Mus musculus: one gene and its partners. The protein of the gene in region 2 binds, or shares a complex with, the protein of the main gene of each other region. Links are inferred from orthologs where the notes say so. Each region holds a gene or a part of one and is shown on either strand. Other genes may lie near its edges.

Evidence for each region.
Region 1: Strip1 (region 2) and Stk26 share a complex: the UniProt entries of both Homo sapiens proteins name them as parts of the core of STRIPAK complex. The link is inferred for Mus musculus from reciprocal best matches to the Homo sapiens genes STRIP1 and STK26.
Region 3: Strip1 (region 2) and Stk25 share a complex: the UniProt entries of both Homo sapiens proteins name them as parts of the core of STRIPAK complex. The link is inferred for Mus musculus from reciprocal best matches to the Homo sapiens genes STRIP1 and STK25.

The regions. Positions count from the first base shown.
Region 1 is NC_000086.7:50,839,973-50,844,170, reverse strand, and holds the start of Stk26 (serine/threonine-protein kinase 26), read right to left. Parts: upstream 2,801-4,198; 5' UTR 2,625-2,800; intron 2,493-2,624; 5' UTR 2,378-2,492; coding exon 2,336-2,377; intron 1-2,335. UniProt on the Homo sapiens protein: Serine/threonine-protein kinase that acts as a mediator of cell growth. Modulates apoptosis. In association with STK24 negatively regulates Golgi reorientation in polarized cell migration upon RHO activation.
Region 2 is NC_000069.6:107,628,615-107,633,323, forward strand, and holds the start of Strip1 (striatin-interacting protein 1), read right to left. Parts: upstream 3,097-4,709; 5' UTR 3,067-3,096; coding exon 2,887-3,066; intron 1-2,886. UniProt on the Homo sapiens protein: Plays a role in the regulation of cell morphology and cytoskeletal organization. Required in the cortical actin filament dynamics and cell shape. Part of the striatin-interacting phosphatase and kinase (STRIPAK) complexes.
Region 3 is NC_000067.6:93,632,928-93,637,083, reverse strand, and holds the start of Stk25 (serine/threonine-protein kinase 25), read left to right. Parts: upstream 1-1,356; 5' UTR 1,357-1,537; intron 1,538-1,700; 5' UTR 1,701-1,756; coding exon 1,757-1,786; intron 1,787-4,156. UniProt on the Homo sapiens protein: Oxidant stress-activated serine/threonine kinase that may play a role in the response to environmental stress.

The DNA of each region.
Region 1 (4,198 bases), on a different chromosome or scaffold from region 2:
AGTCAATCACTCCACCCTGATTTGGGGAAATATTGCACATTAATTTAAAGAACACATGGCAAATTCAAGATTTCTTGCTACTTAAACAACCTAAAAGTTGCTTGCTTCTAACTCTAACAAAACTATAGGAGACCATTATGATCCCAGAATATATTTCTACATTATAGTTTTTGGGAAATACAACAAAACTATTCTAGGCTAAAGGGTCATGCTGCATGCTGTGAATGTGTTTTAGGTCCCTGTATAATTTCAAAGATGGAAAAGCTGTCTTCTTTAAATGTTGCAGCAAGTGCTTAAGAACTACATCTAGAAATAAAAATGAAAATAATTGGATAACGTGCTACTTCACTTAGATGGAAAGTGGCGGAGCAAGAATCAATAATCTTTGCTTGCTGAATGTGAGATGACTATCCTGTACAGCTAAGGACTGACAAATTAATAACTTGGGGAAGGCACACCATGCAAGGCAAAGTTGATCATTTCAAATATGTGATTCCCATTTCAACCCACCTTAATTAAGATCTAAAAATCCAAGAGATAGCTAGCTCCCATAATTAAACAAAGCAAGGAGCAATGTGACAATGCTCAACGGTGAGCACTTAGCAAACCATCTCTATCCAATAAAGTCAGAACAAATTAAATAAAGACCAGAAACCACATAAATCAAATAAAGTCAAGCCAAATGAAATAAAGACCAGGAACCCTTTTCTGGTGATCACACTGAGTAGCCCAGAATCACACAAAGTTGATGAAGGGGAGGCACCAGTGTGGCCGCATGCAGGCAGGCGCCTGCTCACAATGGAGAGAGAAGCATGGAGCCTCTGAGCAGTAGCCATATGTAAAGTTCTATGTCTCCACATAATAGAAAGCTGTGCACGAAGGGGGAAAGTTCACGTGTCGTTCCAAACCAGGCAGAGCAAAACCAGTTCCTATTGCAAACTACTACTTGTCCAGATACAAGCAAAGTCAGACTTCAATGAATGGCGTGTGGGGCAGAGCAGTTAGGGAAAAGAGAGCCAGAGATGGAGAATGCATGAGGAAAAAAAAGTTTGGGGCACTGGGAAAAACTGAAATGGATTAATACCACAAAAAGCCCCACTCTTTCTATTTTACATTTCTTTCCCTCCCCTTCCTGAGTCTCAACCCAGACCTGCCCTTAAATACAGGAGACATGTATGTCCTGTACAAATGACCCCTTTGAGGAGAAAGGATATTTTTAAAAGCACCTTTTTATTTTTATCATAAATACAATGAGACCAGTCAGCACATGCGGCAGTAGACAGAGACTCCAATTCACAAAGTTTGGACTCCTAGTAGAAGCGTAAGCTATGCAGTGGTCTCCACATTTCAGAACTTGAAATAATTTGTTTGTTTGACTTAGCATAGTTAGAAGATCATAAGGAACCCAGTCTCAGTGTTTTTAGCCTCTGACTTATAACTCATAAAGGGTTATTTAGGTTGCCATGGGGGATACCCCAAATGTAAATGCTTTAAAAAGTTAAGAGTGGTTAAAAAAACAACAAGATGTGTAAAACATTTGTTGACATAATTTTCTTTAACGAAACGATAGTATAATGGGAGGAGAACTGTATGGATTTTGAGTAAAATGTTGGGTCCCACACTTTTTTCCCCCTTTGCGCTGGACAAAAGCTTAAGTACGTGTACCAACCACCTTAGCAGACAGACAAGGAGAAAGGTATGTGGAGTCATTACCTAGGCCCTCAGAACAGGATCCTGCAGTCCTTGGAACACTACCCACTGAGCTAGGTAGGGGAGCGTGATAGAAGTTTGCTTCTAAGTGGCACCAAAGGGGAAAAGAAGGCATCTTGCTCTTCTGTCTTTGCACACAGGAAGAACCAAATTCAATGCCTCCACCACTCCTGGTCTCGCTCCGCCCCAACCTCTGTGTGTGTACCGTGTGGGGGCACCTCTTGGGTGTTTTAGCCCACACATTCCAGGACGCCTCTATCTCATCGAGGTTAAGTTCTGGGACTCCCCCACGCTGAATCCTCAACTGTGCCACGATTAACAAGCCAACAAGTACAGGTGCCTAAGGTTCTGGCCTATTTTTATACGTGTACTCCCCCCCCCCCCACACACACACACACCAACACCAACTGAGTCTCTCCCCAGTCGCCTCAATCTCTCCAGTGCAAAACACCTTCTAGCCCGGACGCCAGGAAACACCTCGAGCTTTACTTCGGGGTCACCTGGTGAGAGATCCGGCCCTGCCTTCAGGTTTGCCCCGTGGCTGCCCTGGTCCCTGGTGCCTGGTGCCCAAAGCGGGGCTTCGGAGCAGTCACGTGGGCGGCACGGGAGGCCTGGGCTTCCTCACCTGCATCCCAGGCACTTGAACAGCCACCGGTGAGTGGGCCATGGTGGCGACTGCTACTTCGCGCTGCTTCTGCGGTGGTGGCGGTGGCGCCTCCGGCAGAGACTGGCTCCTCCTACGGAGGTATCTCTGCAGCTCTACCAGGCTTCTCGATCGAGGCCTGGAAGGACGCAGAGAAGTGGAGTTAGTGGGCTGGTGGCTTGCAGCCTCCACTCCCCCCATTCCGCCCCCCCCCCCCCTGCGGGGAGGTGAGCGGTTCGCGCCGCTGCTCTCCCGGACTCAGTTTACCTACCTCTCTGCCGCTCGCCTGCCTGGCTTTTGGCTAACTGCAGTGTTGCTCTCTTTCCTGAATGCAGGGCTTGACCTGTGGCGGTGCCTGGGACCTGGGCTCCAGTGATGCCGCTTTGCTGCGCCTCGCCGCTTTAGGAAGAGGAGGTGGAGGCACCCCAGCAACCCGCCCGAACGCTTAGGCTGGGAGGCGGCTGGGGGCGGTTCCCCGGTTGGCCCTGCCTCCACCCCGCTGCCGGGCGGTGTCAGGGGAGCTGAGGCTTCAGGCTGCAAAGGGGGTTGGCTAACATAGCCAGAGTTGGAGACGCTCGGGGCTCTCAGGGGTTGCGGAGAGCAGCAGAAAGGCGGGATCGGGATCGAAAAACTTGGAACATAACCGAGCCTGGAGAAAGAACAGAAGAGTTTGCGGGAGTGGGGTAGGGGAGATGAGGGCAACCCGGATGAATGCGGCCACGTTGCAGACAGGCTTGCGAGGCTGGGGTGCTTGTAGCCTCCCAGAGGTCTGGAGTTGCAAAAGTTTTGCTTGGCTCCCCCACCTGGCCAAGGGTGGGGCCACCGAGCCAGACACCTGCTCCTTCACGCCTAAGTTCCTTCCCTCTTGCAATTTTCAGCTTCCTTGCCCTTAGATATGCCTCAAGTCACTTTAACCTGAGTCTGTCCTTACCTTAGGCTATTAGTTGAGGAACGGCCTGGCTGAAATTGCTCACAATTTCTGCGCGTGTAAAAGAGAGGCAAATTGGAAAACGGATCATGTATTGGCAGAAAACTTAACAACGATAACAGAGGCAAGGAGCATGAGATTACATCTTTCCGAGTATAGATATTTGAATTTAGCATGCAGCACAGTGACTTCTGCAACTCTCTGCCTTCTTCTAATTTAAGTTCAACTCCAGGAGTGAGGCAGACCCTTTCTGGAGGACCCAATAACACAATAATGACAGTGATAATAATAGCAGTCACAGGAGTCTCAGGGAAGCACCTATGTGAACACCCGGGCTACTAAAGGTTACAGGACAAAATAAGATCCAAGTAAATGTGTAAAATGAGAACTCACCTTGAAGTTTGCCAGATGCCCGTGCAACCAATGCACACTCAACAAATGCTATTCTTTTTTAAATAATTTTTTTCTCCAAGAACAGTATCTGGTTATTATCAACATTAGTAGTAGTAGTAGATTTCGTTTTCATTGCCCCAGAGATCCCGAAATTTACCCTCTGTATATTGTAAAGAGTTATTGTGACAAGCGCTCACTTGAGTCACACTGCCTTCTCCCCACTGAGCAAATAGATCAAAAGGCTCAGCCAAGTAAATATTTGACTCAAATATTGCAATTAAAAAGCAATACATCTGAGAAGTCCAATCTGGGCCCCCCTGCCACATACTACCTTCTATTAATATGGTAGAAGTATATTAAATATGGTATTGATTTTACCTTACTCTTAGTGCTCCAAGCCTTGGCGTTCTCTCTATTCTACCCAATGGTAGGCCCTGATCTAATGTCTATTTCTCACCAGCTCAAGTCATTCTCTACAATAGCCTACCCAGAAACGTTCAGTGCCACCTACCTGTAATGTCCAC
Region 2 (4,709 bases):
TCACTTCTTTCTGAGCTGTGGACTATATACAGCTAAGGATAAAATGAGCACTGAAACCCTCAGCCACCCTGCCCCATCTCAATTTTCAGTGAGAACTGAGAGAGAAAGCAGAAATGGAACAGATTGGCCTGCCTCCCACACACAGGAGAGAGTGCAATGAGAATCTGTTAGGGATAGGTGATTCCTGAGAACACGCCATCTTGGAAGCCTTGTACTGGGAAGAGAGAAGCATCAAGATCAAAAGGCTAAGCCCAGCCCTGACTAATGTACTTGCAAGACCAGAGGGTACAGTTCAGCACAGAGCACCTTCCTAGTAGGTGCTAGATCCTGGGCTTAATTCTCAGCATGCAGCTGGGTGGGTGAGTGAGATGGAGAGTGGGGTCAGGGAAAACCTTCTAACTGATAATGACCCCTGACATGACATAATATGCCCACAAGCCATAACTCTATTCCTTATTAATGGGCACTAATGGACACTTCCATACACTACTGAGCTTCTAGGCTAGAGACAGAGTTTAGTGGTAAAATGATTACCTACCATGTGTAGAGTCCTGGGTTCAAGTCCCAGTCCCATTAAAACACAACTAAAATCAACATTTGTATACATTACTGAGGTTGAGTTTCATTTACCCAATGGGAATGACAAAACTCTGCTTCAAACTTAGCTTAAGACCTTTTTTTTTTTTTTGACAGTTTCATTCCCATTATATAATATATTGTGGTCTTATTCACCCCCAAATCCATTACCATTTCTTAGCCCCCCCCCCCCAGTGTATTTTTATAGAGACAAGGTTTTACTATGCAGCCCAGGCTGGCCTTGAACTCTGATTCTCCTTGCTCAGCTTCCGGAGTGTTGTGACTGGAAGCATGCTCGACTGCCTTGGCTAGTTTTGAGGACTAATAAAGTTTACCTGGCACATACTGAGCCTCCTTGTGCTCTAGGCACTGATCAGATCCCCAAACTACTGACTTCAGCTGTCACCAGAAGGGTGTGCAGCATCAGCACCTCCAACACAAGGACACAGATCGATGTGATGGGCCTTCCAGATGTTGAATCCAGTGAAATTAAAGGTAGGAAGAGAAATAAAAACATGTAATAGAGGCTGAGGACATACCTCAGCAGTATAGTGTTTGCCTACCTTGCACAAGGCCCTGAATCTGATTCTCAGCACCACATAATAACACGAATAAGGGGTGGTGCACACCTTTAATCCTAGCACTCAAGAGGCAGATGAATCTCTGTTGAGTTTGAGGCCAGCCCCATCTGCAGAGCAGAGTTCTAGGACAGCTAAAGCTACACAGAGAAACCCTGTCTCAAAAACAAAAACAAAACAAAAAACAAAGAAGCAAACAAACAACAAATAAAATAAAATGCACAAAAGGGTATTTATCTGACTATTTTGTGGCTTTTCAGGAAAATTTAAAACTACTTTACCTGCTGAGCTATCCCGCCATCCCTAAAGCACTTATTTTAAATGTATTATGTGTTTATCTGTGTGTGTATACATGTGCCCATGGAGGACAAAAGGACAGTACTGGATCCCTAGGAGCTAGTGTGCTAATAGGCAGTTGTGAGCGGCCCAACTTGGGTGCTGGGATCCTCTGAGAGAACAGCAAGTTCTCTTAACCACTGAACCATCTCTCCAGTCCACTCAAACATTTAAAAAGAGAAATTTGAAGGTGTAGTTCAATTCTCAGGGTTCTCTTCAGAAAACCTGGACAAGTCTGGTCATTAAAGGTCTTACAAACTTAACTTCCATACTCCTTCGTACTTAAGAGATCACTGAGAAGTAGCCACTGATCACCCATCATTCCACAACAAAAGGCTCCTAAAAGGTCCATCTTTTTCAAAAAAGCCACTCTAAACTCATCCTCTCAACTCTGGGCTTGTTCCTTTGTGACATAAGTTATCAGAATTTGAGCCTGCGACAACAACAAAATGTTTGGAGGGAACTGATTTCTTAGGCTTAAAGACACTATCTTTAGTATCTGGTACTAGCTGAAGCATCAAATTTGAATTTGAGGAATTCCCTCTCGGTAAGTGCCTGGCTGTTCATCACACTGGAAGTTGTCTCAGGTGGAGGAGATTGCGTAGTAAGCGCTCTGGGAATGAATGTGCTGATGAGGAAGCCCTGAAATGCTGCGACGAGACGGGTGTGTGTTCATTCATGAATTCTGCAAACGGAAGCAGTGGGAGGAATTTTAACTTGGGGCGAGGTGAATAGCTCCAGACAGCGCGGGCAAAGGGAATCGCAGCTCACTAGCAAGGAGGAGAATCCGGCGCCCTTTGTGTACTTCTGATCCCTTCACAGCTCAGCAACTGGGCTCACTGGGCATGCAAAAATACTTGGCAATGTCTGGCCGCGGTTTGATCCAGCGCTGACTAAAATTCGGAGGGAAGCCACAATGTGCTCTCTCTGCTACTCACACAACCTGGGGCCGGCCAAGCAGCACTAGAGAGAGAAGCCCTGTTCTAAGCGCCCGCTAAACTCTCCTGGGTCCCTTCGCTGCCAACTGGCGTGGCCCACCACCCTGCTAAGATCAGAGGCCGGAAAGGATGAGGGGCTAACCAGCCAGCAGACCACCGATTTTGCACCCCAGGAGGGCTGTGCCTCAGGCCACGCCCCCGGGGGCGACCGGCCATCCCCGGCTCGGGGACCTTCTTCCCCCGGCCGCAGCAGAGTTGGTGACAGGGCTCCGGGCTTTCCTCCCCGGGGCTGTGGCGGCTGCCAGCCTAGCTAACTGCACGGTTCCCGGTAAAGTGACAGCTCCCAGGGTCCCTGTCAAGCCGTCGGGAAGCCCGGCTGGGCCCGGATGCCGCCCCGGTCTCCCGGGACCCCCTCTGTCACCCGCCCGGTGCCAGCCTCGCCCCCCTGCAGCTCTGACCTCCGAGTCTTTGCGCTGGTTGCGGTTGAACTCGCGGGCTTTGCCCCCCGGCAGGAGGCCTCCGGCGGCCCTCGGCGCCCCAGGAGGAGGCTGCGCGGTGGCAGGCGGCGGAGGAGGTGGCGGCTGCGGCTGCTTGTTGTTCACAATCAGAGGGCCGGGACCGGCGGCTGCCGGCTCCATCTTGGCTGCTCCACACCCCCGGCTCAATTCGCGGACGGCCTCCCGTCAGGCAACTCTCGCGTGATTTCCTCCAGGAAATTTCCCCAATCGCCATATTCAGTGTGGCTGCGTGTGTCGAAAGCCGCAACTGCCAATCACCTCCCAAGGTCTTTCCTGGCTTTGTCATTTAGTTTCCCCTCCCTCCTTCCCGTGGAACTAAGCCGGAGACGTGCGGCTGGGCTCGCAGGAATCCCTTTAGATGTCTTTTTTATCCATGAGACTTAACACTTTAATTCGTTGTCTATCATCGCTTTGCCTGTCTTTAGAGCCCTCCCTGTTCAAGGTGAGGCAGGATGAAAGGGGAAATTAGGGAGACATCATTAAAGAAAGCAATTCCTGACTCATGGGTCTAGTTGACACGTTTTCCTAGCAAAGAATTTCTGTACAATTAACAACTGGTTGTGGCTTTTCTCTAACCTTCCAGCTGAAAAACCTCCAAGTCAGTAGGACTCTGTAAGAAACACCTTGTGCAACCCTGGGGACTCCTGGTTTTACTTATCAGATTATAACTCCATCCAAGACACCTCTGGAGCCACGTTAATAATCTCACTTATCAAAACAGGGGAAAAAGCCGGGCGTTGGTGGCGCACGCCTTTAATCCCAGCACTTGGGAGTCAGAGGCAGGCAGATTTCTGAGTTCGAGGCCAGCCTGGTTTACAAAGTGAGTTCCGGGACAGCCAGGACTATACAGAGAAACCCTGTCTTGAACTTGAAGTGAAGAGAGACAGAGAGAGAGAGAGACAGAGAAAGAGAGAGAGAGAGAGAGAGAGAGAGAGAGAGAGAGAGAGAGAGAGAGAGAGAGAGAGACTCTTGGGGGCTAAGGATAACAGTATGAAGTTGTATCTGTCCTCAAGCCACTGACAAATACTTTTAAGGATATAATAATGAACAAAAATAGGATTCTAGTCTTCGTGGAGTTTACATTCACATGGGGGAGATAAACAAATGAATAAATAAAACTGAAATTGAAAATATAACAGAGAAATCATGGGGAAATGAGGGTGTGTTTAATAATCCCTTAGAAGTGGCTCTTGCTTTTCTGCCTTCATTTTGTAGCTGTCTCGTTTACTCTGAATTACCTGCTCACATCTGTATTGACTCAAAGAGCAATCATCCAAAAATGGTGGCCTCTCACCTCATTCTCCGTCACGTCTGAGTGCCAAACACATAGGAGTAACCAAGATGGTTTTAATGTTACTTTTTACAGTGTCCTCCTCCAGAAACCTCCCTCCCCAAGAAGCAGGTACAAGACTCTTGGTCACTGGCCTCAACCCTCTAGACATCAGGAGTGGCAAAGCCTCACAGAACACAGCATCCCCGGATGACGAACAGCTCTTTCTATCATGGCCTGTGCACCCTGGAGGAGAAAGAATCAACTCCTGAGAACCAGCTTGTCCCTTAAGTAAAAAGGACTTCTACCATCTCATAGAACCAACACTGAGAGGATGATAACCAGACCACACTTGCCCAGGTCTGCTGGAATTTTCCTATCTCCCGCCCTCAATCTCAATTCTAATTCTATTTAAATCTAAAGTAAGTTTCCCCAAAGACAGATTTGGGATCAGTAAACACCTTATGTGTTTCTCTTTACAATGTTCACATCG
Region 3 (4,156 bases), on a different chromosome or scaffold from region 2:
ACATAGAGAGTTTTAAGCCAGCCTAGGCTACAGAATGAGGTCCTGTCTTAAAAATCAAAAATAAAGGCCTACAGAGATTCCTCAATCATTAAGAATTCTTGTTGCTCTTCCAGAGGACCAGAATTTAGTTCTAGCACCCATGCCATTCAGCATATGACCCTCTGCAACTCCAGATCCAGGCCTTTTCAGATCTCAGTAGGTTCCTGTTCACATTTAACATACACATATATGTACATAAATAAGTCTTAATAGAGTTGGCCTTGCCTAATTTCAGACTTTTCTATAGGAGGGATAGGTAGGCTGAAGGCCATCCTACAGATGATCTTTTTCAGGGGCAATAAAAATATTTGCCCCTATTGTTGATGCCTTGGGGCGGGGGAGGGGAGGAAACCAAGGTGCTTCAGGATCCAGGGCAGGGCTGTTTGCTGGAAGTCTATTTTCTTCTGGGGAAAAACACAGCAAAGAAAACCTAATCAACATGTAGTAAAATTTGGCGGTTAAAGAATCTGATGCAAGGTCTTGCATGCAAGGTTTAAGGTTCCAGGATGGTGCCCAGGAAGAAAATCCACCAGAGAACAGAAACAACAAGCCTTTATGAGTTGGGGAGTAGGGACATTATGGTGGTTTGCACTGAGCCGTCATAGGAATGGACACAGTATGGAGCCAAATCTCCCTCCCGTGGAACACTAGGAGACTGCATAGAAGTGGACATTGCTGACTAGTCACTCATACTGAATTCACAGGATGAAAGGCATCTTCCAACCTTTGGAAATCCCCGCTGGACCACACAACTCTTCCCAGCGCCAGGTCATGTCCTGGGGACCTACGATTAAACCTTTTCAGATAGGGAAACTGAGGCAGGAGAGAAGCACTTGTCCAACAATGGGCGACTTTTCTAAGGGCGCGCGTGGGCGTACTCCTTGTGTGTGTGTGTTGCTAAGCGCAGACAAGAAGGTCACACTGCGGTTAAAGCTGGAGCACCAGGATATGAGGGTAATGTGGGTTCGCACTCCAGGCACACAGTATGGGTCTCAGAAGCTTGGCAAACAGAACTGGGAAAATGAGAGGAGGGCTGAAAAAAAAAGAGAAAAAAAAGCCTAGAAAACGTCAAGGCAACTGCGCACGCGCTGCACCCGTCACCGCGCGGCCTGACAGGAGGGGCAGCCCAGCTCGGGCATATCTCAAGGTTCGGATCCAATCTGTGGCGCATTTGTGCCTCTCCACTGACCGCCCACCGCAAGTTCTCCTGGGACTTGTAGTCTGTCGCCATCAGGGCCCCGGAGCACTTGCGTAACACCTCATCCTACCGCGCAGCCTGCTGGGACTTGTAGTCTCAATTTTGCGTGCCCGGGGTACGGGGCGGGCTGCGGGACTCCTAGTCCCACAGAGCTTCGCGCTCGCCACGACGCCCTGCTCAGAGCCGCTGCCTCCACCTCACGGGCTGGGAGGCCTGGGCGTTCCGGGAGACCGAATTGCGGTGTGAGCCGCCGTGGGGACTGCGAAGCGGGCCCGGAGTCCGAGATGGAGCCGCCCGGAGGTGGGCGCTGCCAGCGGGCCTCGCCTGAATGTTGGGGAGGCCGGGCACGCCCTGAGGGCGGGTCGGGGGCCCTGGGCGCGGGACCGGAGGTCGCGGGTGGAGGGACGCCACGGAACGGGTCCCCCTGGCCACTGTTGACCGAGCGGCCTGCGGTTTCTCGCAGGTGCTTGAGGCGAGCGGGCGGAGCGGCTGCGACGGACTGGTCACGTCAGCGGGGACATGGCTCACCTCCGGGGCTTCGCGCACCAGGTGAGTGTGGGCGTCGGCGTGCCCCGAGTCCGTGGTTCGCTGTGGAGCGGATTTGTCCACTTGAGGCGGGAGAGGGGCGGAGGCCGTCTGCCTCGGGGCGCGTCTTGGGGCCGTTGGAACTCTGGCCTGTGCCGAGCCAGCGCCTGCGGAAGACGTGAGCCCCAGGGAACGTCTGCGGGGCGAGCGCTTCTGCTCGGGAGCTGCTGGGGGCAGGTGCAGGAACCTGCCCTGGGCACAACCTGCTTGACCCAGGCTCGGAGCACCTTCCCAGAAGATGGACTCCACCTTCCTTGGCTAACGGGATGGAACCCCGACACGGGACCGCACAGGAGATGAGGGCTGCGTAGGGTCAGAGGGTTCGGTGGTTTGCTCTCTGGACCCCCTTTCTCGCCTTTATTTTATTTGTGGTGTTGTTATTTCAGAGCAATATGACAGACAGCTAGTGAAGTGGAATGAGCTGCCTTGGCGGCTGATTTTCCTCTGGCTTTAGCTGTGGGATTTGCGTTTTAAGGGCTTGGTTTAGATAGGCTTAGGCTTGACAGTTGCACAGTGAAGGAATCAGTTCCTGAGGACAGTGCAGCCGCTCACCCCACCCCACCCTGACCCCCCTTCTCCCTGCATCCTTGAGAACTGGTTGTGTAGACAGGAAGCATGTCCGTCCGCTGCTTGTGGGCAGGAATTGGAGGCAGGGCTCCTTGGAGGAAACCAAACCAGCCTGGAAGACTACTCACAGCTGTTGGGGAGGGCTTTTGGCCCAGCTGTCACAGATGGGATCCCGAGCTTGCTAACTGATGCTGAATTAAGCTAACACATTTTTAATACATTTTGACATTTCGCCTCTAATTATATAACATACTAAGAGAGAGAGAAAAAAAATCTGCCTCTAGTTTATTTTTAAGAGACTTAAGCTTAGCTTATGAAGGTCCCAGGATGACAAATTGGAGCTATGAATTGCGAAGGAGTACAGTAATGATGGCTAGGGGACCTTTCTCAAAGAGAAAACACCCTTTTTGTCTTTTTAGGGGCCTGTGTCCAGCCTAGACATACTTGGCTTCTGAAAGTGACACAAAACCTTTGTAGGGCTGCTTTCTCCCAAGATGGCTGCCATAGAGTCCTATGAAATTGCTCCTTTTGTGTGATAAGGCTTGTACTTTCCCCCTGTAGCCTGTGCTTCTGCCTTAGATTACCTTTTACCCGGCCTGTTCCTGCCCATCTCTGGAAGGACCAGATGGTTCTGGGCAAGCACTGTGTGACTGTGTGTGGTAGATGAGGGAGGATGTGTGCTGAGTTGTTCCTCTTGTTTTGGAGAGGTGATACACAGCAGGCATGTTGGCAGAAAGGCCAGAGGCTGTAAGTATAATATCCCTAGGATGGAATGGAGAGCGAATGGGTCTCAGTTGTTCAGAGTAAGTTAGATGGCTTGAGTGATGGTTCATAACACATTCTGTCCAGAAGAGAAATCTGAGCCACCCAGATCAGCATGCTAGCTGTCTGTGATTGGCTGGGTTTGGGACTAGGGCTGCTTCAAAGGTGTAAATACAGAGACCATGCCAGAAAGGCTCCTATCATACTGTTTCTTAGGCTGACTGGTTCACAGCTATAGGTACCCAAAAAACGTAGACTTTGAAGACTAGGGTTCCCACCTTCCTTGCACAAAGTCTAGAACTCTGGCTTTGGGATCTGTTATTTTCTTTTCCTCTGAGGCAGTGTGAGTGAATACCTGGCCTGAAGTATCCTTCTTCGGCTACTGTAGTGGACAAGTTCTGATTCTAGGTTCCCCCAGAAGAGAGCAATTAAGAATTCTCAGTATGGCTGAGCAGTGTGGGAGGATGTGGTGTCTGAGCCTGAGTAGTAGGAAAAGGGCTACTGAGAACTGGAAGGATAGTGGTCCTGGGTCATGTAGTTAGCCGATGGCTTGACTTCTCTCTAACAGGCTTTCTTAGGCTACAAGCACTGGACTGAACCAGTGATAAGACTGTATTGCCTTGAGTCCTCAACTAGACCTTCTGGAGATCTTTGAGATGGTTTTCAAGGTGTCTCAAAACTACACATGGTGGAGCTGTAGCATCTGAGGAGACAGTAGAGGCCAAGTGGTTAGAGAAAGAAGGGTTTGAAAAAGTGTTTTGGGGCCTGCTGGAGCAGAAACAGGCAGAAAAACAAAACAGAACAATAACAACAACAACAAAACAGGCAGGAAAAGGTCTGCTATGTGGCCCTTGCTCTGCACCTGGCTTTCAGGGCTGGCTTTGAGCAGGGGATCAAGTGGTCACTGCCCAGACATGAAGTGACAGAGGCTGAGGTCTTTTCACACTGATCACGTCTACCTTTATCGGTGGTCTCCACACTGATGAGTGTGGTTAGAGCACATGG